Linked DNA regions of Struthio camelus. The protein of the gene in region 4 interacts with the protein of the main gene of each other region in a biochemical or structural test. Links are inferred from orthologs where the notes say so. Each region holds a gene or a part of one and is shown on either strand. Other genes may lie near its edges. The genes, in order: RAB31, RAB8A, RAB5A and OCRL.

Region 1 (7,427 bases), on a different chromosome or scaffold from region 4:
GGCTGAGCTGAGGAGGAGGGATAACATTTTTGTGCGAGGAAGATGCTTGCCAAGAAATCCAGAGGGAAAGCAGCAGTGAGAGAAAGGAAGTAACTCATCAGGTACTTGGGGCAGACAGCAGCAGTTTGGGGAGCTGAGCACACACCAGGGTCATGACGGGATCTAGCTCGGCGTATGTCGCTCACCAAAGAGAGAAAGCAGGTGGAAGAAGGCAGATGCTTCCTAAGCCTGGGAACCCCGCCAGCACCTCACAAGTATCCCATTTGCCTACCATATGGGCTAGATAAATACCGTTACACTTCTTTCAGAGAGGAAGAGACAGAGGGCGTAGGAAACTTTTTAATGTAGGATTACATTTTCTGCCAACACGAGCCCCAGAGGGGCAGGAACATGTGGCTAGGGACAAAGGACGGGATGGCAGCAGCCCCAGCTTCAATTTCCAGAAACTGTTGCAAAACCACATGGTGAGACAGAGCTTAGTAAAGTACCTAGCCTGAGGTTACATAGCAAGGCCATGTTGGAGGCATCAGTTTTCCTGATCTTGTGCCTCCTGGTCTTGTGCCTCTAACCAGAAGGCTGTTTTCCTTCCTTTCTAGTGCAGTTTGCTGGGCCTATTCAAAGGAAATCAGCAGTGTTACACTTACAGACCTAGGGTGAGTGAGAGGATAGTCCTGCTCCAGCAGGTTTTCCAGAACAGGAAATCAAAGTGAAGGATTCCTCAATGCTATTCTCCCATGGCAAGTAGGACTACTTTGAATTTCATGATGGAGACAGGCCTGAATAAACTTTCCAAATATCATAGTCAGAACACCTTGACCAGATCACATCTTGGTGGCTGAAGCCCGACTCTGAGGACCTAAATCTCTCACACTAAGGGTAGATTAGGAGTAATCACTCTTATTTTGAAGTTTGAAATTGGTGAAGCTGCACTCTTATAAAATTAGAATAAACTAAAGGATGATTTGGTTCCTGCAGTTTTTGAAAACTGAAGCAAATGATTTCTGAGGAGAGAGTGAATTACTTGAAAGTCCTGAGGGACTGCTACTGAAAAGTGGAACTGCTTGGAAATACCCAAAAGCGAAATACAGGGTAAAAAGAGGTGAGGTGAGACGTCGTTTCAAAACTTATATTTATTAATTCAGTTGCTATAAAAGGAAAAAAAGAAAACCTTTAGGATGCAAAGGGTTGTTTTCATTTGCTTTTAACCAGACATGTGAAAACACTGAAACATGACAAATTCCTCAAAAATGTTTTCCTGACCACAGCTTCTTGCATGCAGACAAATACAAGGATTATGCCAATTCCTGGAAGAAGGAACGTCATTAGCTTTTTTTAAAATACTTGAGCATATGTCTGTTTGTATTGTTTTTCTCACTTTTTTCTAATTTTTGTGGGTTTTTTTAGGGCCTCTCTGTTTTAGGCCAGTACAACGAGTTATTTTTCCTTCTGGTGTTTTTCCTTCCAGCCCATCAGACTTTTTGTCTGTACAAGTAAAATTGCCCTTTCTTGATACTAGCCCTCCTGCTGTTCAAGCCTGAGCAGTTTACACTGGGTCACCTTCATGTTACTGTTCTAAGCAATTTGATTGCTTGTAACTAGCTGCTTGAGGATCTGCTGTCTTCAGAAGTAAGCTTCTGAGGTATGTACTTGCAGTGCTTTTAGTGATGACTGCTGTTTCATCATGCATATTTTAGGAAAAGTTTCCACAGATAAGAAGAAATATGGAAATGTGAAATATGACTTGCTTTCCTCGACAGATTTCTCAGGCATTATTTTGTATTACGCTGGTACTGAATCAAGACAGCAATTCAGCACGTCCTGACGTGCGTTGAAGTTAGTGGGATGTGACACTATCTTGAAAATGGACAGGCTTAAGCAAGTGCTTTCCAGAATCGGAACTTTTATTGCGTGTTTGTGCATGGAGATGCATGGGAAAGTTAAGGCCCCTCAACTAAGGCTGTAAAGTCAATGCAACATATAATGAAGTACATTAAGCTGCTGTATGTATGGATACCATTTAGGAATAAAGCACCATTACATCATTGTAGCTTAATCTGAGTGCAGCTACAGACAAACCCTCCAGCTGTACTTGTGACACTGAGCAGCTTTGAACACAGCGCTCCTCTATCAGTCTCTTCTTGTAATCCTCAGCCTAGCATAACAGCATTCAAGCGTTTCTTACTGAAATTAGTTCACTTGGTATAGCATTTCATTTCTATACAACAAGCAAAAATTCCTAAAGTTCAAAATTGCAAAATCTGGAGCAAAGAAAAGGTGAGATTAGAGAACCAAAGGGATATTTGAAGGACATAGAAATGTTTTTTAAAAAAATCAATAATTAATTTATGCAAAAGATGATCCTGAACTGTAATACCGGCTGTGAATCGTAGTCCTTCAACACTGGAAAAGTTTGAATCAAGGTCACAGGAACAACATTTAACTCAGCCTTAAAAATGAAAGAGAAGATGGAATTGGATAGTGTAAAGCCTTAAAACTTTGCACCTCCTGTCCACTGTAGAAGTAATTCCCGGCTAAAATTTGGAGTTGCTTTGAATTAGTTGTGTTATGACTGCAAGGCTGTAATTGTCCCATGTTAGTGAGTGTATCCTCTTTGCTTATTGAAAGACTTTATTGTATAATCCATTCTTGTGGAAAGACAATGAGAAGACAGAATTCTAGCAATATTCTGCCAATATTGCAGAATATTGGAAACCTGTGATTGTTGTTTCTCTAAATTCTCCAAAAAACCCCACTTAATTAAATGCCAAGCATCTCTCTGATGAGCCTCTCCTTTTATCTCTATCTTCTGATACTCTCTTCTGACAAGCTGTGACGCTCCACTAAAAATGCTTTTGTGTTTTCCTCCTTGGGGATAGGAACTGCTCTGTTCCAAGCATTTCCTTGGCCTAGGGTTGGGGAGAGTTGGAAGAGTGCACGCGTTCTCCTCTGGCCTGTCAATGTGAGCGTAGGACATAATGTGGAACTAATTAATGACATAATGAACGCCACAAGAGTTTATTGTCAGGAAGCTCCTGTGACGTGGCAGTAATTTCATAATGACTAATCACGTTTGCCGTAATCATCCTTTAGCAATTCTACCTGTTTAAAATGATAAATTAGCCAAAAAAAAAAAAACCAAAACCAACCATGAGTAGAATGGATGGACTTAAAATACATGACAGACTCTTCTTTTCTGCTTTTTCAAGATTATAACATGCAACCGTTCTCCATAAACGCTAGGACTCTGGCTACAGAGAGCAGAGAAAAGCTGGAGCGGTTTATAATCCCTCTCACTGATTTCAGTGGACAGGTCCTGAAGTTAGTGGTAATGCACTATTTACCAGATTTCTTTATGTGTGGGATACAGCCCTATTGTCAACCCTAGAGTGGATATTTTAATTAAATGCAGCTATTTCGTACCGGGATTGCATAAAAGCAGAGTTACTCTTTTAGGTACAGAAATGCTTACTGCACATATAAAGTCAAAAAAAAAAAAAAGTTAAGATCGATTCAGATTGTTCACAAGCGAAACAGTTCAGATCCCACATCTCGACCAGCACTTGGTGTGTAGGACTAAGCAGACGTGTAGTCCCATGCCGGGTGCGGACCTCACCAATTATTTTTCTCACAGCGGCAGGTATTTACACCGTACCTCCCCGGTCACCAACCGGCTCGGCTGCCCCGTTTTAAGGGGCGGTTCAGAGCTGGGGGGCCGCTCCCTGACCCACTCGGGAATGAGCCCCTTCACTCCTGATGCCAAGAAGCCACCTGAACCCACCAACCTTCCTTCACCCCGGGGCCCCAGCGTGGCTGACCAAACCCACCCGGGGCCGCAGCCACGCGGCGCCCCGGCCTGGTGCCACCTTCGTGTCACTTCAACGAGTGAGCGGGCGGGCGGGCGGGAGCCGCGCGCCCAACGGCCGCCGCGAGCCCAACGGCCGCCGCGCGGCCCTCGCGCGCGCGCCCCGCCGGGAACCGCCCGCGGGCCGCTGGCGGGCGGGAAGCGCGGCGGCGAGGCGGGGCCGCGGCGGCGGCCGCGCGCATGTGACCGGCGGCGGCTCGGGCTCGGGCTCGGGCTCCGGGGGCGGCCCCGGCGGGGCAGTGCGGAGCGGAGAGGCGCGGCGCGGCGGGGGATGCGGAGCGGCTCGGCCCCACGCAGATGATGGCGATACGCGAGCTGAAAGTGTGTCTGCTTGGAGTGAGTAGCGGGCGGGGAAGGGGCCGCGGAGGGTCGCGCCCCGTTCCCCGCCGCGGCGGGGCCGCCCTGCTTGCGGCGGATGGCGGCGCCGGGCCGGGAGGCTTCCCCTTTCCTCTGCCTCCTCTACCCCCATCCCTCCGCGGTGAAGGGCTGCGGGAGAAGGGGAGGCGGGGGGGGGGGCGCCGCGCTGGAAAGAGGAAGCGGCTCCGCGCCCCACCGCGCTTCCCCACGGAGGCGCCCGCCTCTCCCTTCCGCCGGGCGCAGCGCCTGCCCGGCCCGCGGCTCTGCCCCGCCGGCGTCGGGGCTGACGGCGGCGGCCCGGGGTCGGGGCCGGGGCCGCCCGTCGCCGCGGTGAATTCCTCCGCGCCGAGACTTGGCAGAGGCAGCGCGCCGGCCTCCGGCAGCGGGGTGGGTGTGAGGGTTTGGGTGTCTTTGTTTGCTTGTTTTGCTTTGTAGTTTTTGGGGGTGGGGTTTTTTTTTTGGGGGGGGGGAACTTTTGCAGGACGGGCTGGGTCGCCGTCTCCCCGCGGGCGCGCACGCCGCGGGGAGCGGGGAGATGGTAGCGTCGGGGGGAGCCGCGGCCGAGCCTGCCGCCCTCCCCCCCGCCCCCAGCGGGCCGCCTCCCTCCCGTGTCGGAGCCCCGAAGGGTTTTTCGATCTTCTCACTCCCGCCTCCTCTTTGCGGGAGACTTGAAGTTTCTGTCACTTGTCCTGCCGGCTTAGCTGAACCAAGGCTGGCGTGGTGGGAGATGGAAAAGAAGGGAAAGCAGCAATCATAACTCCGTGTCTGTGCGAAGAGATGATTCCTCCTGTCTTCTCTCATACGCCTCAAGTTATCTGCTGTGTGCTTGGTTTGGTTACTTGCCTGCGTTCGTTAAAGCTTGGTTCAGCGAGCTCATTATTTTTGTTCTTTCCCTTTTTGGGTGTAATCGTTATGTGCGTTTAACATCTGGAGCAACAATGTGCTTAGCTTTGCAGTTTGGCTCCGCCTGCCCCCGTCTTTGCCCTGCTCAGAGGGAACTTCACATCAAAATGTGCTCATGGAATTGTTACAAGTACTGCTAGGAGAGCCCCATACAGATCCAGATCTTTTGATAGTTACTAGCAGGGCATGCCATTTATCAAATGTATCAAATAGACCAGGCATAAGTTACACAGCTTTTAGGCCCATATTGCCATTAAGTTTCAGAAAAGCTGTGTGATTGAAGGTGTTCTAGAGTAAATTCTCACTCATGGAGTATAACTGGATTGCAGATTTAAAAACCAAACAAATATAGACACTCCAGTTCCCTGTGCTGTGTGCTGACACTTACCCCAGCAGGAGTGGGTACTTTGCCCTGGAGTAAGAGCCAGGACGTGGTGCCAGGACACTGAAGAGTTCAACCCGAAGTATTTGGCAATGAACGTTCATCCTTTCTCAGTAAGAATTCCTGCCTTCAGCTTTTAAAATGGCACAGAGACAAAATAAATGTGGTTTAAACAAACCTGAGGAGTCTGTGGTAGAGTATGTGGATGCGCCTTTATTTTTTTCCCCAAGGAGAAAATCCCGTAATGTTCTAGAGATGAAATGTCTTGTGGAATGACATTCCTCTTGCCCATAATTTATTGCTGTTTTGTAACATTGAAAAGTACTGGAGGTTTTGCAGGGGAATTGTTTACTTGTTTTAAGACAGGAAGAGAAGCCCAGAAAGCAGCTCTGTGTTACTTGGAGTATGCCATTACTCAGTAGATTCTTTAAAATGATAGGGTGGCAGTGGAAACATTTAGGAAGATACAAGTGTCTGTAGTTGGTGAGAAGCCGTTCCTTCCTGAGTTTTAATAGGCTATAATCCTGGAGAACCGTCTACTTGTGATCATAGACATCCTACCATGGAGGCTGGCGTTCTGTTTTCCCAAAACGGCAGGGTCCATAATAGACAAATCACTTGTAAGCTTCAGCTTTCCAAAACAGGGCAACTGTGTACCTCTCTGTGTGAACAAGTGCAACCATTAATCTTCTGATCTGCCTAGAAGTTACATGGCAACCCTAAAATATGTTTTCAGATCTATCCAAAGGAATCTTAATACTTATCTTTTCAGTAGGTCCTGGACATAGTTCCCTAGATCTGTGCAACAGGGCAAGTTAATCTGTATTGTGTCTAATAGTTCCCCTAGTAATCAGTAAAGTCTGACACGCCCAAGTCCTGAGATGAATTCCTTGTCGGACAGGAAGCATTAAATTGGATTCTAACCTATGTATCTCTTCTCTTCTCAACAGAGCCTTAGATTGCATCCCTAAATCAGTTAGGAGGATCACAGTTCCGTTCTGTATCAGTTCCCCTGACAATCTACAGCCCTCAGCTGTGCAAAGGGCCTGGAACGTGTCTGTTTCTACCAGCTCAGAATTCCCTAGTGGGGAAGAATTTGCAGCTGGCGTAACACTGGCAAAGCCACCTTCTCCACAAGCCCCGGAGCCTTGCTCAGCTGTACAAGGTCTCATTGGGAGGGTGAGGAGAGAGGGGAATGGAGAAACCAGAGCTGTGCTCCATGCTGCCACTTTTCTACTAACCCATAAAACAGCTCTTATAAACTAGTCTAGTACTTCAGGGCCAGCACTTGGCCCGGAGCCATTGCGATAGAGATGGAGAATAAGTTATTGGCTCTTGGTTGTCTCCCACGCATTGCCCAGGTCATGCTGTAGCAGAAGAGAGAACCTGGCCCATAGTTCTGAACATAAATCTATCAAAACTGGGATTTGGGCATCCACGTTTCACTTTTTCCTCCTCAGAAGTAACTTGAGAGAAATTTGGAGCAGCCTCGAGTAGTGCACAACAAGGGGATAGACATGAGGTTTGTAAGTTTTGTGAAAGAAGCAAGAGAATGATGAGGGGGAATTTTGGGGCAACTCAAGCCTACGCATGAGTCAGTTTGGGAGCTAGGCTTTGTTGGTCATGGAGCTTTGTTCATGAATTTGGGAAGGTGATGTTCTTTGAGGAGAGATGGTTCCAGCTTGCTGGTGGGCCGGTAGGAACAGGATGCCTGGCTAATTGTTCAGCGCCTCACAGCACTAGGTGTAAGAGCTACAATTTGAATAGCCCTATTGAGCGTGTTGCCATGCAAGTGGCCTCAAGCCTGCTCCTAAACAGAGGTATGAAAGAGAGTTATCGCTGCTGGGCAGTGATGTATTTGCACGTGGAACATGTATTTGCGTTTACTAGGCTGAACTTAAGCATCTGCACAATGTCTTATCT
Region 2 (7,579 bases), on a different chromosome or scaffold from region 4:
AGCGGCCGATGAGAGTGAGAGGTATGTTTCCTTTTTCTGGGTGTGGGGGTAGGGACCTTAAGGGAAAAATGGTGAATATAAATTAAATGAATTTTCCTGTATTCCTATTAGCCTTGCAGAACACGATAGTTTGGATTGGTCCTAATGGGGTCACTTTTCAGTTACCAATACTGGAGTCCCCTTTAGGACCTTTGAGATAAAGTGATAAAAAGCTTCTGTGTTAAACATATTTGTTTTGACTTCTGCAGAGGAATGAAGGTTATTGAGAACAGAGCAATGAAAGACGAAGAAAAAATGGAGATTCAGGAGATGCAACTGAAGGAGGCTAAGCATATTGCTGAAGAAGCTGACCGCAAATATGAAGAGGTGAAAGGGATGCTTTAATAAGGAAATGATAAAACATATGAGAGAACTATGAACAACTTTGTTACTGTTCAGTTTAGTTCTTCTTTTTATACTTTCTACTATGTGATGGTTTGACTTTGCAATATTTCCAAAAGGTGTAATTCTAATAGTGACTATAGCACTTGCGTATTTACATATTTAATCTTACGTATTTAATAGGTATTTAAAGTTCTTTTGGGAAAAAGTCCCTGTCTTGTATGTGCAGAGCTGTATATTTTATTCTAGTTTACATCAGTCAGAAGGCAAGCATAGGCATAGCGCTTTGAGGGAGACATAACAAGTTATCAGTTGGCTTGATATAGTTATTTTCTCTTTACAGGTTGCTCGTAAACTGGTTATTTTGGAAGGTGAACTGGAAAGAGCTGAAGAGCGTGCAGAAGTGTCAGAAGTGTGAGTAGTTTCGCATACATGGGTGTAGTTTAGAGTACAATAAAGTTCTCCTTACTATGTGAGGATTGTTTTCATAACACAAATATCCATGGTATTTTTCAGGGGTTTCGCTTGTTTAACAGTATCAGTACAGTGTCCAACCATTTAGTAGTTTCATTTCAAAGGCTGCCAGCATTATGGAGAAACATAATGGCCCATTTGGATCTTTTTCATGAAAAATGTTGAGGGGGAAGTTGCTAATACTTCAGCTTCAAGAGTAACTTTCCTTACTTGTAGGTTTATTAAACATGCTCTTCTAACATTAGCATCGGGTCTCCTACAGTGTCCAAGGTGGTACAAAACAGAATGGCTCTTGTACCGAAAGTCAGCTGCAGTGCAGTGCAAGCCTATACGTTTCTTACTGTTTTAAGACATTTCTTAACACAGAGGAGTGTGCAACACTGAGCTTTAAAAGTGTCATTTATTCTTCGACAATGTAAGGTTAAAGTTGTATTTCATTAGGCAGATCTACTGCTAAAAGGCAGCCATGTAGGATACTTGGAAAAGCTTTTGGTGTCCCATAAACAAACTCACTGCTTTTAGACTTATTTACTTAATAACCTGTATTTTTAGACCTTTTGAAAATTAAACAAAGTCATAACAGTGACAGTGGTAACTTGTACTTTTTTTTTCCCCCGTAGTAAATGTAGTGACCTTGAAGAGGAATTAAAGAATGTCACTAACAACCTGAAGTCCCTGGAAGCCCAATCTGAAAAGGTTGCTTCTTTCAGTGAGCTAAGGGATGGTGGGGGGAAGTCAAAACTTGTCATTAAAATTCACAGAAATAATCCAGAAGTACAAAAAAATTTAAGGGTTTAGTTTGACCGCTTGTGTAACAGCGAGTATTGATAACGTTGTATCAGTTCTGCCCAAAACCAAAATACTCAGTAATCTGGTAATTATCTGCAATATTGCTTCCTGCAAATCAGGATTTGACTCTGTTTCCCACATTACTAGGCAGCTGACTGTTCTTGATTTTGTTATCTTGTTAAGAATCTTGTATTGGTTGCTTGCCTTCTTAATAAGGCAAATTGCTAAAACTCCTGCTTTCATTAAACAGTTGTTTCCAGCTAGCCCTAATTGGTATAGAAAAGTTGATGATTTCTTGCACATTCAGCTATTTTTGTGCTGCCTAATAAAGTAAGCCTGTTAAGGACTAAAATAGATACGTAAAGGAACTTTGGACAGCCTCAGTCTTAAAACGATGGTATATGAATCAGTTTGAGAAGTCTTGGTGAAGAGGAGAAAAATATGGGAAGGGTGTTTGCAGCTATCATAAACGGAAAAGTGGTTATTAATAGGTCAGGTTTTTCATAAACATTATTGCTGCTACAACTTCCCTTAAAGAGCGTGTTTATTGTTTTCACAGTACTCGGAAAAAGAAGATAAATACGAAGAAGAAATCAAGCTTCTGTCTGACAAGCTTAAAGAAGTAAGATTATCCATCCCCAAACTGTGCTTTGGCAGCCTTTTTTTAACAGCATCCATTTATTCTATTTATTTATTTGTTTGTTTGTTAGGCTGAAACACGTGCTGAATTTGCGGAGAGAACAGTTGCAAAACTGGAAAAGTCTATTGATGACCTGGAAGGTATGAAATTACTGATCATGATTTTACAGGTCTTCATTTTAGCTCAGAAAGCAACATTCTAGGAATAAGTATTATATTTTATTGGGAAAGGACAAAAATATTAATCAGATGTATAGCCAGAGCAGCGTGAGACAATTGGTGATCCGTATGTCTGTCCAGCCGGGTACTTCCTGCCCAGAGGGAATTTTCCTGAAAGAGGTTCTCTTCAAAAGTTGCTACCAATAACCTGCCTTTAGCCAACTCACAAATGTGTGTGCTCAAAGGGGCCTTTCTACTTAACAAGAATCATAATCTCATTTAATCTGATGCCTGAAAAACAATTCTTGGCAGAGGGGGGGAAATGTAGATGAAGCTTCTGACCTGGCAGCTGTGTATATTTTTTTTGCTTTCACACTAATGTTTGACTACATATCTGTTTTCTTCTTCTACTTCCCCCCTCAATTACTTGGTTCGCTGCATTCTGGCTGTCTTCGCATCTTCTGCTATACGCCTCTTCCTCTGGACTGCTTTTCTGCATCTCTTGCTGCAACTTGCCTTCTGCCTTCGTGCCTGATAGATGAGCTGTACGCTCAGAAGCTGAAGTACAAAGCTATCAGTGAGGAGCTCGATCATGCTCTCAATGATATGACCTCTCTGTAATTTGCACCTACTGGGGGGCTTTGACTCGCTGCATTTCTTAAGCTCTTCTTGCCTGTAAGACCTGTCGCTTCTGTGCAACTTCTAAGTGCGATCCTTCAGCCTTCTCTGTAAGATCTGATTTCAATAAAAACGAGTTACCTCTACCTTTAAGCTTTCTGGGTTTTTTTCCTCATGATTCACGTAAAATACATCAGTAATGACACTGAAAGTACATTTAGCTGCTCATGCCAGGGCCAGGCCCCCACAGTCAGCACAGGCGGGACAGTGACCGTGGTGCAGGACCAGCCATGGGAGCAACAGGCCACGCGCACCCTGCGCAGCGCTGAAGAGCTTGGTCAGTCTCGGCACCCCTGATGGCCGGGACAGAACCTGGTGGCCTGGCAAAGGCCTCAGTTTTCGTATTCCCAAAGATGAAAAAGCTTTGAGCTAGCTCTCACTTTGCGTGTTGTTTCACCTGCCTGGTTTAAAATTCTCAGAACGATGGAAACTCTGAAGGACATGTCCTGTACATCGCGTGTTAAACTAAAATACAAGTCTGTCGCATTACATATCAGACCCATCCAGAAACCCTTTAAACGAGAGCCATTACAAAAATAATTATCAGTCCCAAATTTCTTTGATGCAATTATAGTGTTCTCTTAAAAGTAAAGGTGAGTAATGAGGTTATTTATTGAAAGAGAAAAGGCAGTAAAATGTGTGTTTAAAGTCTTGTTTTCTCTCCTTTCTCCCTAGAAAAACTTGCTCAGGCAAAAGAAGAGAATTTGGGGTTGCATCAGACACTGGATCAGACGTTAAATGAACTAAACTGTATATGAAATTGAGAAGAACGCTCAGCCGCCAACAGAAACTTAAACATGTATCTGTATTTACCGTTTCATTCCTCTCTTTCTCTGTATCTTAGAAAAAAAAAAAGAAAATTAAGTTATGAGCAGTGCCCAAAGCGTTCAGGTCAGCGCCCTGGGCGTACCGCGGCCGCAGCCGCGCCGCTGTAGGGCCGGGGCGGCGGAGACCCAGCTCTGTATTTATTAAACTGCAGCATGCAGGAAGGCGAGCGACGAGCCCGCGCGCGACCCTCCTGCCCCGTCTCCGCCGGCTCGGCGCTGGCCCCGCCGCTTTTTTATGTGGATCAGTGTAGGTGGTATCCCAGCAGTATTACCCGCGAACGCGACTGTTCCTGACGTTTTCATATTAAACAGCTTCACCCCGACCCGCCGTGTCCCCTGCTCTGTCCGTAGCGCCGTCGCGCTTCCCCGCGCGCGCAGCGGCTGGGCGTGATGTCAGCAAAACGTCATACCGCCACCTAGCCGCACGCGACTTCCGTCCGCCGCCGGAAGTGGCGTCTCGCCGGGCACGGGCGGCGAGGCGAGCGGCCAATGGCGCGGCCGGTTACACACGGAGCGCGGCTCGCCGGCCAATGGGGCGCCGGCTCCGTTCTCTTCCTGCTCGGCGGCCGGGGAGGCGGGCCCTGCGGCGACGCGCCGCTGGGCTCGGCCAATGGGCGCGCGGCGGGCGGTGATGGCCGGCGGGCTCGGCCTGTGAGGCGCGCGGGGGCGGGGGTCGCCGGAGGGGCGGCGCCGGGAAGATGGCGAAGACGTACGACTACCTGTTCAAGCTGCTGCTCATCGGCGACTCGGGCGTGGGCAAGACCTGCGCGCTCTTCCGCTTCTCCGAGGATGCCTTCAACGCCACCTTCATCTCCACCATCGGTGCGCGCCGGGCCGGGGCCGGGGCCGGGGCCGGTCGCCGCTGCTTCAGCGCTGCCCCGTGCCGGCGGCTCGCGCGCTGGGGGGCTGCGCGGCGGCGGCGGCGGCGGGGAGGGCGGTTTCGCTGCCGCCTCGGGCGGCTTTAGCGGCTCGGCGCGCAGCGCCTCGTTCAGCGGTTGCGGTGGAGCTCGGTTGCGCCGGCCTTGCCTCGGCGCCGGTTGCGAACGTGCCTCACTGTTCGTTCGCTCCCCCCGGCCCTGCGGGGATCCGGGCAGGCGCTTTGCTTGTGGCTGCTGCGGCTCAGATCGCTCTCCTTCGCTCTGCAGAGGCCGTTGTCTAGCGTGAGCGACTGTAAAACCTCGCGCTTTGCTTCGTTAGCTACCTGGAAGGGTGTTCTGCCAGTGCAAACCTCACCAGGGAAACGAGAGGGGAAAAGTTAGCTTGGTCTTCAGCAGAAACTAAGAGTAACTTAGTTACTTCTCTTTTCAGGTATTGATTTTAAAATTAGAACTATAGAGCTAGACGGCAAGCGAATTAAACTACAGATATGGTAAGCCTTTTCTTCTAACGTTACATGAATTAATTTCTTATAACCCGGCATCAGTATGGTGTGGAGTAGTGATATTATCATTACGTTTTCAATCTAGTTGTGCTCTTCAGTAGCTTACAGTATCTTAGAAACCACAACTGTTGTTTCAGTGCTTCTAAAAACTGATTAAAAATATTTAATTAAAGTTTCTGAAAGCTCTAATTTCAGCGCAATAGCTTCGCTGGGTTGCATGAGCCCCTGTGTTCTGGTCTGTTTCAGGGACACGGCTGGGCAGGAGCGATTCCGAACCATCACGACAGCGTACTACCGGGGAGCAATGGTAGGAGCGGGGCAGGTCACGCTGAGCGTTCAACAGACACCTTAGTTTTCAACATCAAACCAGCTGTGTTTTAATGGGGAGCGTATGTAACCGCCTGTGTTTCAGCATATGAACTCTAGCTGGGTAAACACTTGACAACTTGCACTCCTGTTCCTCAGCGCTAATGGTGTTGAAGCTGTACTGAGACAATGTGGGGACCTACAAAGTCAGATTTCCATTGTGACTCACTGTATAAATATACATTTAGTACACCTTATCTAATAAGACACAAATTGTGATTAAATGTTATGTGTAACTTGGAACTATTTCTTTTTAAATAGTCTTTGTTAAGTTTCTTTGTCATGGAAAAGTCTTTAACTTTTGCTTAAACTGGCACTAGCTGAAATAAGGTGTTTTGTTTTTATCTTTAGGGCATTATGCTAGTCTATGACATCACCAATGAAAAATCTTTTGAAAATATTCGGAACTGGGTCAGGAATATTGAAGAGGTAATTTCTGTTTATTGACTCAGTATTAAAAATGCTATCCCCATTCTAGAAGTAGTTAAAAGTTAAATGCTTCAGCATTGTTATGTTTCTTTCTAATTTATGTACTGTAGAGTAAATGTGGAAAACATATTGCAAGAAAATTGGTAATATCTTTTAGAATGTCTCGGTTCATAGTAATTCATTGCACGTGAGAGCACGTTGTATGGACTGTAGCCTTTCTAGCGATTGAGAGATGTTTTCCTGCCACCGCAAGTGACCTAAAGAGCTGCCTTTATGCAGGCAGGCCCTGAGCTGTGAGTGTCTGAAGAAAACTGTTGGGATGGGGTGTTTGGGGGAAACTCTTAAATCTATGGAAAATTCTTTGCATCAGCACCTTTGTTTTCAGTACTTGATGTATGCTTCACCTTTCTGATGTTTTTTTGTAGACAAATACTAAGCTGAAGTACTTTCTTTTGTCTGTTTCTATGTCAGCATGCCTCCCCAGATGTTGAAAAAATGATTCTTGGAAATAAGTGTGATGCAAATGACAAAAGACAAGTCTCTAGAGAGCAAGGGGAGAAGGTAAGTGCCATCGCCTGGCTTCATCCTGTCTCTGCCCAGGGGCTGAAGTCAGTGCTTGGAACTGAATACTTCCTAAATCCCTCAGTCTCTTTAAAGCCCGTAAAGTTCCTTACTTACTGCCAAGACGGTTGCCAAGTGTGGCTCGTGTGTCTGACTTGCTGCTTTTGTGGCAGGAGTCTATGTTATAGCTGCCTTAGGAGGACTAAAGTGCTAATTTTGAAGTTCCAGCCAGTAAGATTGATCTACCACTTCTGAAAGCTCACTAAAGTATGATGGTGTTCCTTCTTGGATTTAATCTTTATCCTTGTTATTTTGGTCTCAGCAGTGAAATCTTCTGTACGAATGTTAAAATAGTTTTTATTCCTTTTGATGTATGTGTGCCTCAGCTGGAAAAAACTGTAGGCTCAGTCTGTTATTCTGCTGGTAGAAAACCTGTTCTTCCAGTGAAGAAAATGGTTCAGAGTTAGTGGTTATTGATTTCTATACCTAACAAAATAATGTGCACTACCTGTGAAGTGTTATTGGCTTCTGTGATCTCTTATGAATGCCACAGTCGTAAATGAAGCTTACAAAAAAAAGTTGAGATCATAAATTAGAGCCCCTTGCTCTAATTGTAAGCGTTCAGTGTTGTGCTCTTAATCGTTAAAGAAAAAAAAAAATCTTCATTTCAAAAGTTGAAAATCCAAAAACCTCTGGAGTGTTTTATAAAATTGCAGTTTGCTGATGTTTGGGACCGTTTAGGAATGGTTAACTTGGCTATAGAATAACATACTCTTAACATTATAAACAGCTGTATTACCATGTTTAGTAACAGAGGCTAAAGTCAGACTTCCACTTCCAAAGCGGCAATTGTCATTTTCTATAAGGTGCTTGAGAACTGATACACTGAATATGC
Region 3 (7,928 bases), on a different chromosome or scaffold from region 4:
AACTCAAAGTTATTTCATATAGATGAATGAAAAAGCTGCCTCCTTTTTGCTTATTTTAGGAATCAGTGTTATATTAGTTCTTTATTAGATTGAAAGTTAGTTGGTGTGTAGGAAGAATATCTGTAGGGCATGAAGGATATGATCTGTACATTTTAAAGAAAGGATTATCAAGTTTTATATTCACCGATCTTTGATATCAGACCATAAGTTATGGGTGAGTGATGCTATTTTATGGTCATCAATGCACTAGCAAATTTATGCAGTAATTAAACCAAACAGTTACCATATTCACTACAGAAGGATTTAAATAAGAACTACCAGACATTTAAATAAAGGAAGAATATTGTTAATAGGATTCCAAGATGTATTTATTTTTAACTCTTGGCTTTTGCTTCATCCAGGCAAGGAAAAACAATAGAATTTTTTATTAATTCTATAAATTAGTGTCACATGATTGTAAGATACCAAACTAAATAAAATAAAATCTAGTTTATTTTGATCCTCAATAATGCTGTATTTCTCCAATATATAAGGATCAGTAAAATGACTCAAAGCATAGTTTTATTTATATTAGCTAATGAAATAACAAAAGTTAAACTCCATTTTGGAACAAAGATCAAGCCCTTCTGGAATCAAATTGACTTCGGCATGAATTTGTCATCTCCTATGGAATTCCAGAGAACTGTTTTGTGAAAAGGTTAAAAAAAAATTCTTTTTACAGCAGTACTTTGTAGCTAAACAGTGTTTGTCATCTGAAAGTTACTACTGTCTGCTGAAGCCCCATTGCCACAAGATAGTGCCTTTTTCTGTTTTTCACAGGCTAAAACTGAGGAATGGAAACTGCCTAAAATCCTGCATTTCACTTTCTTTATGAAGCACAAAAATTCCATGTTCAGCAACACAGTTCTCATTCTGACTAGGAGGATGGTTATAGACAGCAGTCAAAGCACTCAGTGAGTTTGTAAATTCCTCAAAGCCTCTGAAGAGAATTTGACATAAAATGCTGCAAGTGTTATGAAACTCCTGAACAACATTAGCCCTGCTGATAGGCTTTGGTGTTGTCATTGCTTGGTTACTTTCAGGTTTTGTATTCAACTTACTTATTTAAGGATAGAAAATGGTTGTTCTTTGTGTGCTGCACACACTCTATGTATTATGATATGACAAAACCAAAGGATATTTAAAGAAAACATACACAAATAGAGATAGGAGAAAGACAGAAAGGATGAAATTAGAACAGATGGACACATGAAAGAAATTAGGGAGGTAAAACTAAGAAGAAAATTCAAACAGGATAAAGAGATTCTGCACATCCCCCAAAGCCAACTTCCATTTATTATAATACATCTAGGGGCTAGACTTTAACACAGAAAGATCGAACAGAACATGCTATTAAACTCTTGGGAGAAATGCTGAAATAGATGGAAATTCATTTGGTGAAGTTATGACCCAGTAACATCAAAATTTTTTTGTTAATGTCATCCAAAGCAAAATTTTACTCCTGCTATTTTAACAATGATGTGTGACCCAAGATTATATAACATATGAAAATATGATCCCTGGAATGGCTGTCCTGGTGACTTCAGACTTTTTTCTTAATGGTTATTTGCCTAGGCTACAACACAAGAAACTCATCTTCACTGCTAGTGTTCCTGGACTTGTCAATTCCAAAATACTGTGAATGAAATTCAACTCGTTTGATTACGGCCTCATGCTCTCCAGTCCTGCATTGCAGTTAGGAAATTAATTACCCAGCAGAAAACTTACGCTTGTTATATACACACACTTTCTAGCAGCACATACCTCATACCTCTACTGATAAACGATCTGATGTCTCAGGGTGCATCCACCACATGATCCAATGCATGGAGTGTCTATATAGTTACAGACAAAAAGAGTATGAGATTTGCATTCATCCTAGCAGTTTCAGCACAGAAACGTACTGCAACTTATCTCAAGTCCACTCAAAGAGTAGGCTTGAAAAGAAAAATTCTCTAACCTCTCATCATGGAAAAGTAAAAGATTCGTTATCCCTTTCTCCCCTCTTTTCTTCTATTAGTATAATTATATCATATGAATGTAATTCCTGCATCAAAAAATCCATTCAGCCTTAAACCTCAGATGCATTTACTAATGTGCAAGATTATTCTGAATTTAGAAAGCATTTATACTGTTTATATTAAAAGAACATCTGATCCTTTTACATGCTGCATTGTGGTTCTTCTCTGAACAGTGCTACATTTTGTTTTATATTTTTGCCCATTCCTCTTCTACTTCTTCCTTTCCAAAGTGTGTAAACTGTGTGGTTTCAGATTCCACACCCTAATGCCATGTTGATAGGTTACTGCCAAATAAATGGTCCTTAGCTCTTTTTCTTCTCTAAACTCATATTCGTTTGCTCTCATCTGCATCAGATCTAGTCAGCCTGCAGCCACAGATGAGTTGGCTCAGCCAACTGATACAGGAGAAAATTATTTAATTTGGCGAATTATTTTTCCATGAAATCAGTGGTTGATCCAACTCGTTCTGTAGCCACAGGCTCCCATGAGGTACAAGCTTGCAGCTGGGAACGGAAAGGAACTAGGACCACACTTTCGAGGGGTACCTCTTCATTTGATTGGATTAAGTGAAATGTCAAACACCACATGAGCACTTGATCTCCAAACTGAATTTGAGTTCAACCTGTCCTAAAGAGTCACAGTGTAAAATTCACATTTTTTCCATCCAAAACTGTTTACGTAAATGGTGAAAAATGTCTCTGTTTATCAGGGTTCTGATGTTTTGATCAGCAAATCCTGCAGTCCAGCGGAATTTACTGAAAAGTCAGAAGGTTAGTGTGAAAACAGTGCATTAAGTTAGGATTGCATCATTTAAACAGGACCTGTGATAGAGATTCTAAAGGCAGTCCTAACCATAAACTTCAGGCTCAGAAACCTTGCATGCTTTCAAACACATTTCCTTGGAGGAAGTTCTTTGTAATAAAAGTGGGGAGTCTAGCATTTTATATCACTGGTGGACTCAGAATCTCTATTTTTCTTTTTCTTGTTGTTCTTATACACTGGCCTTACAAAAAGCTTAGGTTTTACTTAAGGCAGTGAAGGAGCGTGATGAAATTTTTACTATCAGGATGCAATCATTCAACTAACGCACAAGGAAAAGGAGAGTGGAAAATGAAAATAAAAGTTTATTTTTGCACTTGAGTAACTTCAAAAATATTGATATGCCCATACCAGGGAAGGGACAAAAAGACAAAAGGAGGAAACAAACACAGCAAAATGAGATTTGTTTATTTCCTTCTCAGACTACAGTCCCATCAGCCACAGTATTTTACAAGCAGTTAGGTGTTTTTAAGGCAGCACTAAAGAGCAGAGATAATAAAAGGCTGCGACATGATTAATTTAAGCTTTCTGTTTTCAGCATACTTCTAAAGTAGCAGCAACAACAGCAGAAGAATCCTGCACGGACAGAAAGACTAACTGGACAACTAACATTAAAGTTCTATATTTTAAGGTGATAATGAACCACTACCATAATGGGCCTTTAGCTCCAATATAACCCGGGCCATAGGCTTTTCCTAATTTAATTTTTGCTCCAACTTAATATGTGGTTGAACAAAAGCATATTTTGAGAGGACAGCAACATACAATCCTGATTTAACATTTTCTGTGATTGAGAGTCTAAACAATCTTTATTAAATTGTACCAATGATTAAATACCATAACTGATAAAGTTACTAAACTTCTTTCCAGTTCTGCTTTGGCTTGCTCTAAATGCCAACCGTTACACCTTATTAAACCTGCAAGATTAGGGAAACACTTATTATACCTGTTTCATTTCCTATGGAACCTGTTTATAATCTGTGACCAAGTGTCCCTTACTCTTCTCTTTCATGGGATCAGTAGATTGGGCTCTTTTTATCTTTCACAGTGAGGGAAGTTTTCCATTCTTCTTATCATTCATATAAGCCTTTTCTGAATTCTCTCTCACTTTTCAACATCCTTCCTCAGTTACAGAGATCAAAAAGGCAGGCAGGATTACAGCACGCTTCTCACAATACACCAGCAATACAGAACAAAAGTCATACATGTACTGCCATCTCCAGCATGAGATGTATGATCCAATATTTGCATGTATTGAGACGTACTATTTGCATCTACCTATCCAGCAATAAAGACACTTCTCCATTGGTAACCTATTCTCTTCAGTTTTAGCACTCTCCCAGTATTGATCGTATCCCAAAACTTCATCCCATAAACTTCATTTATTAAAGAAAAATGTTAAGCAGCTGTCCAATTGTATTCGGGATTTTTTCTATGTACTTCCTTCCCTCAACTCATTTGGCTTAGGGCTTTGGTCCTTTTAAAGCACCCAACTGGGAGTTTGCAGGGAATCCAGTTCACAGCCCTGGCACCTCAGTGGCCACATCATGCTGCACTGTGCTTGCTGTTTCTCGCAGAGAGGCATTCAGGAAGCCTAGCTGTTCTCAAGAGACTCTTTCCCTCAGACTTACAAGAGCAGGACGTAAGCCATTCCCTGCAAATCGAGGGCCCAACTTCCGCCACGCCTGACAAGCCCTCTTCGTTCAGCCACTAACGGCTCCCTCACGCCTTGCCCGACCACTAAACACAAACGTATTTACTTGGGGAAAACGACGCCTTATTTGAGCGCAGCAAGGGGGGAGGAGGGGGCGATCACCTCCCTGGGCTCCACCTCCGGGAGGACGAGGACGACACGGCGCCTGGGTGTCGCTGCTCGCGGCGGCCGCCACCACGGCCCCGCTCGGGCAGGCGCCGGGGCCGCCCTCAGCGAGGCCGGTGGGGTGGAGAAAGCGCCACAACCGCCGCGTCGCTGCCGAGGCACCGGCCGTTGGCGGGGCAGAGGGGAGCCCTCCTCGCGCCTCTCCCGTGGGCCCCCGCGCGGGCTGGCACGCGGCGGCCGTGGCGGGGGGCCCCGCGCGGGCGGTCGCAGCCCCGCGGCGTTGCCCCGGTAACGGCCCAGACGCGGGGCGGGGGGAGAACGGGACGGAAAACGAAAGGGGCGGCGGGAGGAAACGAAACGCAGGGGAGGGCGGGAGCGGCCACGTGACGCGCGGGCGAACCGGAAGCGCATGCCGCGTGCGGGCCGTGACGTGGCCGCGGCGGCGGCCGCGGCGGAAGTGCGTGTGTGTTTTGGTCCGGGCCGAGGAGGCGGCGGAAGCTGGCGGCGGCGCGGGCGAGGCACGGCAGCGCCCCCGCCCCGAGCCCCCGAGCCTCCCCTTCCCTCCCCGGGCCTGGCTCGTCCTCCCGCCCTGCCGGAGAGACAGAGAGAGACGCCGCCGCCGCCCGGCTCCCCTCCCTTCCCCCTCCCGCGCGCGGCCGCCGCGGCCCGGCCAGGTGAGGAGGCGGCGGCGGGGCTCGCGGGGCGGGGGGCCCGCTGGCGGGGCGGCGGGGCCGGCGCGGCCCCCGGGGTACGGGCCGTCGCTCCTAGCCCTCTGCTTCCTCCGCCGCAGCTGCCGGCGGCCGCCTGCGTGCGCGCCGCCTCCGGGCGGTGCGGGAGCGTTGGGCCGCGGCGTGGGCTGCCGCGGTGGGCAGCCCGGCGGGCGGAGGGGGGAGGCCGGTCTGGCTTTTCCCGTCTCAAAATGGCGCTCCCGGTTCTCCCACTTCCCCTTATTCCCCTGCCTGCGGCTGGAAGGAAGCGGCGGGGGAGGGAAGGCGGCGGCGGGCATTGGAGGAGCTGGGCTGGGGATCCCGTTGAGAAGGGGGGGAGTGGGGATCCTCCCTGCCTGCGGCCTCTGCTGCGGTGAGTTACCGCTGCCTGGCCCTCCTGCAGGGGAAGGGGTGTATCTTTCGAGTTACCTGAGCGAAAGGAAAGGGGTGGATGGGTGACGGGTTCCTTTCTTTTGCCTGTGACCTGGAAAGGGACGCTGAAGAAGGTGGGAAGGAAAATACACTGGCCACACATCGCCATTCAGGGAATCTTGGATCAGGGATGGCAGGACCCCTGCTCCTTACCCCCCTCCCCCAATACAGGCCTAGTTTATATATGGTTCTACATAAGACTTGGTTGGGACGAGGAATAAAGCTATAGTATGGTGAAGAGACAAATCAATGCTCTCTTATCCTTTAGAGGAGAGTAGGGTAACCAAAAATTATCAAAATGGTGTTCAAAACAATAGGTCTATGACAGACAAAATTAGTCCCTCAGCATTTTCCTTTTTTTTTCCTTCTCTCTTTTTTTTAAACCTTTTACCTTTGTACCTTTTTTAGCTTTACCTTTTCTCAGCCTGGGAATGGAAAAGAGAGACTGAACAGTAACACTGAAATTAATCAGCTCGGTCCAAGTAACACTCGGAGCAAGTAAAAAGCATAACATACTTGATTCCCCACCCCCCATTTGGCAGTGAGTTCCTAGAGTTGCAGTAAGGGTAATTTACTCGTGCATATTTTTACCTTATGGAACGAAATGTCAAGACAACATGAATGTTAACTGAAATGAGGTGGTTAGAGACAGTAATTATACAGTCATCATTACCTGTCTTTCTGATATGATAAACTAGTTTATCTCAAAGCAGTGCATAATATACATCATTCATATGAACTTACGAGATAGCTATTATCTTTAATTGGAAGGCTGTGAATTTCCTGTACTGTTGATTCATGTGCTTAACATACTGTCTCATTATGTTTCAATATAAACTGACTTGCATATGACAAATGTTCTGATAGTTGTACCTGTCACTATCTTGAATACTACAGGACAATGCCACACTAATTTGGTCAACCTGAGAAGGGAATAACAAAAAATTGGCCAGTTAGGAGTGCCTACCACGTAAGTTTATTTAGATATTCCTATTTAAATTGTTCAGGATCATTCAGTATAAATAAACTTGAAGTAGGTAGTGGCTATAACTTCAGTGTTGTATGACTGTTTTCGACACTATCAACACTGAATTTCAAATACGGTCAGCCAGAGGCAGTCATTTATGAGTTACAATTTTCCAGTAATCTGAAACTTGAAAGCGTATTTGTGTCTAAAATGCTTCATCCCTGAATTGAGAAGCTATTTAGAGTCTGGTGGGGTGTTTTTTGGGTTTTGGGTTTTTTTAATTGATCTGAATTTTTTATTTCTGTTTCTGGTCACAAAGTATGACAAAGTTTGTAGAAATTATTACAATATTAAACAAGTATGTTCATGGTAAAAAAAAAAAAAAAAACCTTTGTCATTAACTATGAAGTACTAAAATATTTTAAGTGGTGCTGTATTCCAATTTAAAACTTACTATCATGAACTTCTCGTGTGGTCTTTGTATTTGACAATACAGAGTTCATTCATTGTAGGCTTAATCCCATTGGTAGGCTATATAGTCACTATTAATATTTTGATTCTTGTATATTAGCTTTCTTGCAGTTTCAAATAGGCACTAATTTGAACACTTACATGACTGAATAGATCAGATTTGTGACTTATCCCATTGAGTCGTGAGATGGAAATTATTTTCAGCCTCCAGCATGGGAAAATTCACGTGATGTTCTATTAAAATAGTTATGAAAACTTTCTCTTACGAATAAGACTTTACAAATACTATCTAGCAGCGTAAAAGTCCCTTTTCTAAAGGGATGATGAGAAGAGAATAAGCCCAGCATCTTGTAAATTACTTGATAGGATTAACAGGGGTACTTTCCTAATAATATGCCTTAAACTTTGTTCTGATATTTGCGCATGGACCTGCTAACATGCCGGGGGGTTACTCAAAAGAGTGAAGATTCCTACTTGGCAGAAGGACCCTTCGTGTTATTGTTGTAGTGACCAAGAATGCAAAATGGCCTTTACCTACTAGTATATGATAGTTCTCGCCTAATACTCCATGAAAGATTTTCTTACTTATTTTATTTTGATTTTGTGTCATTTCTATACGTATGAAGCCATCCATCTATGAAACTATGCATGAT
Region 4 (8,177 bases):
TGTTTTATCTTCAGCAGGATAAGGTGGGGTTGGGAAATGGAAGAGAAGAACTAGCCAGATTGCTGACTGCAGGGTCAAGCATAGCTCCCTGCCACTGAGAGCCCCATTACTACACAGACCACAGAGCATACAAAGGTGACAATCACTTCAATACCTGAAACAGAGGCCTGCGATAGACCTGTGAGGTTCTTCACCTGATGCCAGCTGGCTGGGTCCTTATTTTCAGGAGAAGCTTTTGAGTGGGCTGGAAAAAAAATAGGCCTATCAGAAACTGCTCGTGATCTGAGGATTTCATAAACTCATCTTTAGGTCTGGTTACCTTCCTGTATGCTCTGTATTTCTGAAAGGAAGCCCAAGCAACGCTCCTCGTCAGGGATTTCAAAGAGCCGTTCAGCTGTCTTGTCACCTTGTATCCGGATCTTGCAACCTGCTTCAGGCATAAAAACAGACACAGAGACACAGTCAAGTCTGGTTCACAGACATTATGCCCTCACAATGACCAGGCTTACTAGGTATCCTTTAAGCTCATTAACGGAAGCGAACATCCACCTATGTTTTCCTATGCAAAGTTGCATCTAAGCTAGTCTTCCAGTGCTTCCAAGAGTCTGCCGCATTTGGAGGATCGTCGGTCATGTTTTCATGGTTTTAAGAATACTTTTCTGCCTGGCAGCAGGGGAGAGAAGAGTTCTAAAGGTAGTGAGAAAATTTCTTTAAAGGAGAGGCTGAAGCAGTGCCTAGACAGAGTAATGTCAAACACATATCTAAAAAGGCAGACAGTAAACTAGACTCAAGTTCAAGTCAAATGGAAGGGAAGGGATGGAAGGGAAATGAGAAAGGTTCAGAGGGCAGGGCAGGACCTTAGGGAAATACTTAAGAAGTTAAAGTTTAACAAATGGCAACTCCTCCATCCAGGCATTTAAACCATGTTTGTCATGACAACCGAATGCCTACAAGGAAGCATAAAAGAGCCAGACCACAGCATTACAGAAAATACAATCCATACCTAACCAAAAGACAAACACAAAGTATAGAAGAAGAGTATGAGATAGCAGACAAAAGAGGAAAAAGCATACATCTGTGACCCACGTCCAGCCTGTTTGCTGAAAGCTTTAGCCACGTGACTGTCTTGGTTATACAACTTACTGTTTGTTGCTATATCAATCAGTAGAGTTTCTTCTGCCTCTGGAAGAGAGAAAAATAGGATCAAGAGAGTTCACACTGAATGCTGGAGTAATTCAGTACCCAATAAAAAACACACTGCCTGCTTCTAGTCCTGACAAAGGAGCAAAGAGCTTTAATTTACATCTCTACAATAATAATGGCTCCAGCAGAGAGAACAGTCATATTTGGTCAGCCTGGACAGACATTCTCCACAAACAGAGTGTCACAGGCCAGAACTGTAACGCTCAGAGCTCTCATACATCTGGATGTTTTGTTCCACATCTGTAAAGTTACTCTGAAAAGCATCAGCCTGACATTTCTGCCTCAGAAGTCCCTCTGTATACACGAACAAAATTTTCTTCCCCTAAGACCCTATCAGTGAACTTCAGAGCTTGTCTATACAGCAAAAATTATGGGCAGAACTATGATGAATTATACAGAGGGCATAAACTTATGCAAAAAAAGGTGTTTTTATCCCTCCCAACTCTTGTCTTATGGAGAAGACAGACAGCTATCAGCAGCCATCAATTTTCAACCATTACAGACAAGTGCTGAAGGCACTGGCTCTGTGTGATGCCTACTTCACTGAGTCAGCCAAGCCCACCATTCATGCAAACTAGCCAAGTTCATCGCAGCTCTATGCTGAGATGGAAAGACTCCCCACTCAGATCTGGAAGAAGCAGGAGACCAAAAACTCTTAAGTGTTAGTTCCACAAGGAAGCCTTCAATCTACATGGCTGCTCAGGAGGCAGGTCTAGAAGCACCACACTGACCTCGCTCCGTTCTTGCTGATATACGGCAGTGGATTTCTGCCACAACAAGGTTAGAGGACCCACTGTAACAGTCAGTACCTTGTACACATTTAAAGCGGCTGTTGATGGGAATATAATCCGGATCAGCATACTCTTTCTCTTGTGAATGAATAATTATCCTGGAGACAGAAAGAAGGCTTGTGAAAAACCAAAGGAACCCCCTGCTTGTACACAGCAAAATGTTAATATTATAATGAGAGCTGTATTTATGGAGAAATGCAACGCATGATTTCTATTGCTATACTACTGGAACAGGAGAAGAGAAAGAGAGAAAAGCTCAGATCCATACAGGATGTGGGTGAAAATATATTTAGAGCATGCGGTGGGAACGCGAGCGCTTTTCAACTTTCACCGCTACAGGGCAGTTTTAGCTGTAGGGTGGCAGCAGCTCTAGCTGCTCAGGGAAGCCCAGAGAAGCAAGAGAGCAGACTGGGAACTGACAGCTAGAAAACAGAACTTCTCATCTGCCTGCCTGCAGGTTACTTTCTCCAAAGCCAGTGAGATAACTCCAGCAGAAGACATGACAGTCAGAATCTACTCTATTCCTAGGGCTTCTCTAAACATACAGGCGCCACAGCTTTAAGGTCTCTGACATAACCAAAGTGGCACAACCCCCTCCGGGACTGAGGCAAGCTCAGTAGAGGCTCAGAGAGCTGAGAGGCTCCAAAAAGGATGCAGAGAAGCAAGCTTTCTCAGAATAAAGCATTTGCATCCCCCAAAGCCCCGCAGGAGCAGCACTAGTGAACCAGGCCGAGCAACTAACATAAGAAATCGCATCTTTGGCCAGAACGAGCCGCAGCGGGGGTTTCTCTGCATCCGGAGATAACGACATACCACCGGCCGGGGACGGGACCTTCCCTCGAGCCCCGCCACCAGAAAGGTGGTCACGCACCTCAGCTCTTTCGGGCTCTTCCTCAAAGCACAACAACCGAGACCCCCCCCCCGCCCCCCGCCCCCGGCAGGGCCGGCCGGGGCCGCCTCCGCCCCTCGGCCGGGGCAGGTGCGCCACCCCACGGCCCCGCCGACTCCGCCCCGGCTCCCGGGCGGCGCGGCGGCGGGCCGCTGCCGAGGGCGGCGGCGGGAGGCCCGGCGGCGCGGTACTCACTCGTGGCGGCCCTGCCGCTGGCCCAGGCTCAGCACACACGCAGCCCGCCGCCCGGCGCGCACCTCCTGGCCGGCCACGCTCTGCGCCGCCGCTAAAGAAACCACCGCCGCCGCTCCCCGGCCCGGTCCGGGCCCTTCCCGCGGGCCGGCCCCGGCAGCTGCGGCGAAGCTCCAGGCCCCGGCGGGCGGCGGCTCCATGGCGGCGCCTCCCGGCCAGGCCCGCGGCGACCTCCGTCTCCCGGCGACTCGGCGCGGAGAGCGGGGCGGCAGCGCAGAGCGGCGCCGGCCTCGAGCGCCACCGCCCCCTGGCGGCGGGCGGAGCGCGCCGCGCCGCGCGGGGCTCGAGCCGAGGGGACCCCGCGCAGCGCTGGGGCGGCCGGGCGACCTCCCCCGCCTCGTTCACGGCCCACCCAGGGCCCCGCTGGCAACGCGGCTACCACCCAAGCATAAGAGAGGGCTTCCTCTAAGAAAGGCTCCTTTTAAGGGCTTCCCCCCCCCCCGCCTTCTCCCCCCGGCAAATTATCACGGTAGCTCCGCAGCCACGCGGGTCTGTGCCGTTTGGAGCCGCAGGCGACGGCCGCCGCCCTGCCGTGAGGGACAGGGCGCAAAGCGGCAACCGGCTTGGCAAAGCGGCAAGTAACAGTGGCCGGGATGCACAGCGGCAATAACAGGGTTTGGCTAAGGACGCTGGCAGCAGCGCTGACTGTGGCGGGTGAGCGCCCCGAGAGCTGACGCAAAGATATGAGCCCCCACCTGCGACCTCCCTGACCGGTGCTGGGGGTAAACCTGAATCGCTCGGGCGTTTTCTTGCCCTTTGCAGAAGGCCGGCAGTGCCGCGTCCCGTGGGAAGCTGGAGCTGCTGCAGTCTCCAAAAAAGGGCAGAGCGCCGGATGCTCACCCCAGCCCTGCAAGTCCGGCCCTACAGCCAGCCGGGCAGGGGCACTTGAGGGCCTCCGGCCTCCTGGGCCCTCTGATCTGCACGGCCACGTCTGTGCCAATGGCGGTTGTTACCTTTCCAAGAGGCAAAGCCGGGAGGGCCATCAGTTCAGGCACGTGTGAGCTGGGCTGAGCGCAGGCCCGTCCCTGGGAGCCAGATGGACTTACCCAGCAGCTCCTGAGCTTGGCACTTTGCAACCCAGCGCCTCAGCGTAAGCAGAAACCAGCAGGCTGGGGTGATGCACAGCACACCAGGGCTCACCCCGGCTCTGTCCTGGCTGCCAGCAGGCGGCAGAGAGCTCTACTCTGCTGGGGCAACTGAAGCACAGGACAACGGCATCATACATCTACAGCTGGGGCTCGTGCTGAGCCCATCTCAGGCCTCGTCGAAGGCAGGCTTCTTCCCAGCACAAACTGGAGGTCTCCTGCTGCCACAGACCACACTGGGCCAGGAGCTCCTGACCATTTCCTCTTCCAGACCTCTGTCCTGCCAGAATGGCAAGCTCACAGCCAATCCCCCCCCCCCCCCCAGCCCATTCCCCTGTGGCTGTCACAGGAGGAAGTCGAGGCCTTATTCGGTCTGACTCACGAGAAGGAAACCATCTCTGGCCACGTCGCTCCAGGAAGGAGAGAAAAAACTTACCAAGAAAGAGGAGTGCTGGGAGGACGTGGGGGCCAGCAGAGCAGCCCCCGAGGGCTGCAGGAGCCTCTCGCCAGCATGTGCACCGTTTAGCACTGCACACACCACAGGGCTGGGCAAGCTCAGATGGCCCACCGCTGGCACGAAGGCCTTTGGCAAGACACCCCCTTCCTTTCCCACTGCCTGATAACCCCGCAGTCCTGCTGTTTGGAGTGGGAATTGATAGCAATTGGCTCTTCTCCCATGGGGTTTCCAAAGCAAGGTGTAAACCTGCCGGACCCCCGCAGATGGGCATGTGCCACAAACTAACTGGTGGTTAGTCCTCTGCCCAGTCTTTCTGTAACAGCCTGTCTTGGTTCACATGCTCCCTTATAGGACAACTGATCCAGGATATCACGATCCGCGGGATTCACGTTTTGGCTGTGACTCCTGGAAACACCCTATATGTCATCTATAACAAACTAGAGATCCCTTATAGAGCCTAAGCCAGTTCCATCGTCCATAGTCTACCTCCATATGGGACTAAAAAGCAAGGGCCGGGGTTGCAAATGAAAGGGAGCTGGCTTGTATTCAAATGGAAACACCTATGTGGCTGCCAGAGCTGCCTGCAGAGATAAGAGTGGAAAGGGTGCTGGTGTTGGTGCTCAGGAGGCACCCCCTCCTCCCAGGTGCATGGCCCAGCGAGGGTGCCAGGCTGTGGGCACTGGGCCTCCGGCAGATCTGGGCACAGAGGGCAAGTGATGAGCGGCACTGAGTGGCTGCAGGGAACCAAAGCCTAGGCCAGGGCCTTCAGAGAAGCGCTGCTTTCCAGCAGTCCACACTGCATGACTGGTCCCATGCTGAGGACTCTAACTCCAGGCCAGCATCTCTTACCCTTCCAAGCCATGAGTGCTGTCTCCTGGCTGCAGAGCACCTACATGGTGGGGGCACTGCTGCCTGTCCCACTTGCTCTCTGAGCACCCCATGGAAAAGGAAACACTGCTTTGGTGTGCTCTGAGTTCAGCAGCAGCTTCAGATGCAGTTGAAGAGCCGGGAGCAGAGCTGCAGCTCCCTGGCTCGCCTGGCCTGTGCTGGACTCAGTGCACTCTGCTGGACCCCCCTCCATAGGGTCCAGCAAGACCATTCAGCCCCCATGGGGCCAGTGCTCCTGGAGTAACATGGCAACATCTCCCACTGTACAGAAAAAGCGCATGGGAAATGCTACTCCCTTGTCCCCACCATTGCTCCCAGGAAAGGCAGGAGGAAAGGAGAGCAGGAAGCTTCAGAGCCTTGTGCACCGGGGGTCTGTGCAGCCGGGCCTTGCCCTAGGAGCCCGATACTGCCAGGAGCGGGGGGAACTGACCCAGTGCAGCCCAGTCCCACCGTGGCCCAGCCCCTGTTGAGCCCAGCACCAGGACAGCGCAGCCCGAGACCGGCCCCGGCCCCGGCCCCGCCAGCCCCCGTCCTCTGGCCCCGGCCCCGCCCCCCCAAAACCACGTGGTGGCTGCGGGACTCGGCCGGCCGCAGCCCCGCCCCCGGACGCTGACTGGCTGCGCGGCCGTTCATTTGCATGCGGGGTGGGGGGGGGGGAAGGGAGCGCGGGGCAGGACGGGAAGGGCCGGCGTTTGAAGCGCGGGGCGGCAGCGGCGGGGCGCGCGCGCCATGGCGGAGCTGGAGCCTGGGCAGGAGGAGCGGTACCGGAGGTGAGGCGCGGCGCGGCCGGCCGGTCGCGCTCTGTGCGGGTGTCCAGGGCGGCGGTGGCGGGGCCCGGTGCCGCTTGGTGCCGGGGTCGAGCTGGGCGGGGCCGGGGGGAGGCGAGGAGGAGGCCGCGGCCGCGGGGGCGGCGGGGCCTGGTGGCACTTGGTGCCGGGGGCGAGCGGGGCTGGGGAAGGGGCCGGGGCCCCGGGGGCGGCGGCGGGCTCCGCGGGCGGCGGCGGGCTCCGCGCGGTGCCCATGGCGCTTCCCGCAGGCTGGTGAGCGGGGCGAAGGCGGCGGCGGGCGGCGGGGACCTGGAGGAGGCGCTGCGGTTGTTCCGGCTGGCGGCCGCGATCCGCCCCAGCGAGAAGCTGAGTGGCCGCATGCGGCGCGTGGAGGCGGCGCTGGCCGAGGCGGCAGCGGCGGAGGAGGATGGGGAGGAGGAGGAAGGCTTCGTGGACGTGTGCGGCAGCGGACTGCTGCTCTACGGGGAGATGCACGGGAAGCTCTTCCAGCACCAGCGGGAAGGTGTTGCTTTTCTGTACCGCCTGCACCGGGAGGGCAGGCCCGGTGGCATCCTGGCTGATGACATGGGCCTGGGCAAGACCATCCAGATCATCGCCTTCCTCTCAGGCATGTTTGATGCTGACCTTGTCCAGCATGTCCTGCTCATCATGCCCACCACGCTGGTCAGCAGCTGGCTGGCAGAGTTTGCTCGCTGGACCCCTGGCCTGCGCGTCAAGGAGTTCCACGGCACCAGCAAGGCAGAGCGCACCAGGAACCTGGAGAGGGTCCAGAGGAAGAATGGCATTGTTATCACAAGCTACCAGATGCTTATTAACAACTGGAAGCAGCTTGCCAGCAGCCATGAAGAGGAGTTTATCTGGGACTACATCATTCTTGATGAAGCGCATAAAATCAAGTGTCCATCAAACAAAACGACAAAATGTGTGTATGCTATTCCTGCTAAACATCGCCTCCTCCTCACGGGTACCCCAGTGCAAAACAACCTACGGGAAATGTGGTCCTTGTTTGACTTTGCATGCCAAGGCTCTCTCCTAGGAACAGCCAAAACATTTAAAATGGAATATGAGAACCCTATTACGAGGGCAAGGGAGAAGGATGCAACTCTGGGAGAGAAAGCACTGGGCCTTAAGATATCTGAGAATCTAATGACCATTATAAAGCCGTATTTCCTCAGAAGAACTAAAGAAGATATCAAAAAAAACTGCAATGCTGACAAACTGGATGCTCCTCTTCCTGAGGATCCAAGTGAAAATAGTGCTCCTGTCATGCCGTCTCTTACTAGGAAAAATGACTTTGTTGTGTGGGTGTATTTAGCACCAATACAAGAGGAAATCTACAGGAACTTTCTCTCTCTGGATCATTTGAAAGAAGTGCTGATGACTACCCGCTCACCTCTAGCTGAGTTGACTGTCTTGAAGAAGCTGTGTGACCACCCCAGGCTTCTGTCCGCAAGAGCATGTATCCAGCTGGGCTTAGAAGGACATGAATACTCTGAGCAGGATTACAGGAGTGAAACAGGTATACTTGCAGGAGCTAACAAAATAGATCATCTGTCTGAAGAGACTGTGATTCAGGAGTCTGGGAAAATGCTGTTCCTTGTAGGACTTCTAGAAAGGCTGCGAGATGAGGGACACAGAACTCTGGTATTCTCGCAGTCGAGGAAGATGCTAGATATCATAGAGCATGTTTTATCGCGCAGACAATTTAAGATCATGCGTATTGATGGAACAGTAACCCACTTAACAGAACGAGAGAAGCGCATTAGTGCATTTCAGAATGACAAAGACTACTCTGTCTTCTTGCTCACCACGCAAGTCGGCGGC

The links.
Region 1: the proteins of OCRL (region 4) and RAB31 form a complex in vitro, tested with the Homo sapiens proteins (2 studies listed by BioGRID and IntAct, with this or other methods). The link is inferred for Struthio camelus from reciprocal best matches to the Homo sapiens genes OCRL and RAB31.
Region 2: the proteins of OCRL (region 4) and RAB8A form a complex in vitro, tested with the Homo sapiens proteins (2 studies listed by BioGRID and IntAct, with this or other methods). The link is inferred for Struthio camelus from reciprocal best matches to the Homo sapiens genes OCRL and RAB8A.
Region 3: the proteins of OCRL (region 4) and RAB5A form a complex in vitro, tested with the Homo sapiens proteins (2 studies listed by BioGRID and IntAct, with this or other methods). The link is inferred for Struthio camelus from reciprocal best matches to the Homo sapiens genes OCRL and RAB5A.

Annotation. Positions count from the first base shown.
Region 1 is NC_090943.1:116,163,225-116,170,651, reverse strand, and holds the start of RAB31 (ras-related protein Rab-31), read left to right. Parts: upstream 1-4,013; 5' UTR 4,014-4,159; coding exon 4,160-4,198; intron 4,199-7,427. UniProt on the Homo sapiens protein: The small GTPases Rab are key regulators of intracellular membrane trafficking, from the formation of transport vesicles to their fusion with membranes.
Region 2 is NC_090967.1:5,168,057-5,175,635, forward strand, and holds the start of RAB8A (ras-related protein Rab-8A), read left to right. Parts: upstream 1-4,565; 5' UTR 4,566-4,645; coding exon 4,646-4,769; intron 4,770-5,255; coding exon 5,256-5,316; intron 5,317-5,574; coding exon 5,575-5,635; intron 5,636-6,045; coding exon 6,046-6,123; intron 6,124-6,594; coding exon 6,595-6,684; intron 6,685-7,579. Other genes in the region: TPM4 (tropomyosin alpha-4 chain), read left to right, coding at 1-21, 249-366, 725-795, 1,476-1,551, 2,204-2,266, 2,355-2,424, 3,796-3,878. UniProt on the Homo sapiens protein: The small GTPases Rab are key regulators of intracellular membrane trafficking, from the formation of transport vesicles to their fusion with membranes.
Region 3 is NC_090943.1:42,634,851-42,642,778, forward strand, and holds the start of RAB5A (ras-related protein Rab-5A), read left to right. Parts: upstream 1-4,729; 5' UTR 4,730-4,986; intron 4,987-5,088; exon of another isoform or gene 5,089-5,372; intron 5,373-6,245; exon of another isoform or gene 6,246-6,403; intron 6,404-6,734; 5' UTR 6,735-6,807; intron 6,808-7,928. UniProt on the Homo sapiens protein: The small GTPases Rab are key regulators of intracellular membrane trafficking, from the formation of transport vesicles to their fusion with membranes.
Region 4 is NC_090952.1:1,884,588-1,892,764, forward strand, and holds the start of OCRL (inositol polyphosphate 5-phosphatase OCRL), read right to left. Parts: upstream 3,313-8,177; 5' UTR 3,276-3,312; coding exon 3,079-3,275; intron 2,884-3,078; exon of another isoform or gene 2,866-2,883; intron 2,805-2,865; exon of another isoform or gene 2,790-2,804; coding exon of another isoform or gene 2,737-2,789; intron 2,093-2,736; coding exon 2,013-2,092; intron 1,183-2,012; coding exon 1,144-1,182; intron 431-1,143; coding exon 320-430; intron 245-319; coding exon 155-244; intron 1-154. Other genes in the region: ERCC6L (DNA excision repair protein ERCC-6-like), read left to right, coding at 6,295-6,335, 6,602-8,177. UniProt on the Homo sapiens protein: Catalyzes the hydrolysis of the 5-position phosphate of phosphatidylinositol 4,5-bisphosphate (PtdIns(4,5)P2) and phosphatidylinositol-3,4,5-bisphosphate (PtdIns(3,4,5)P3), with the greatest catalytic activity towards PtdIns(4,5)P2.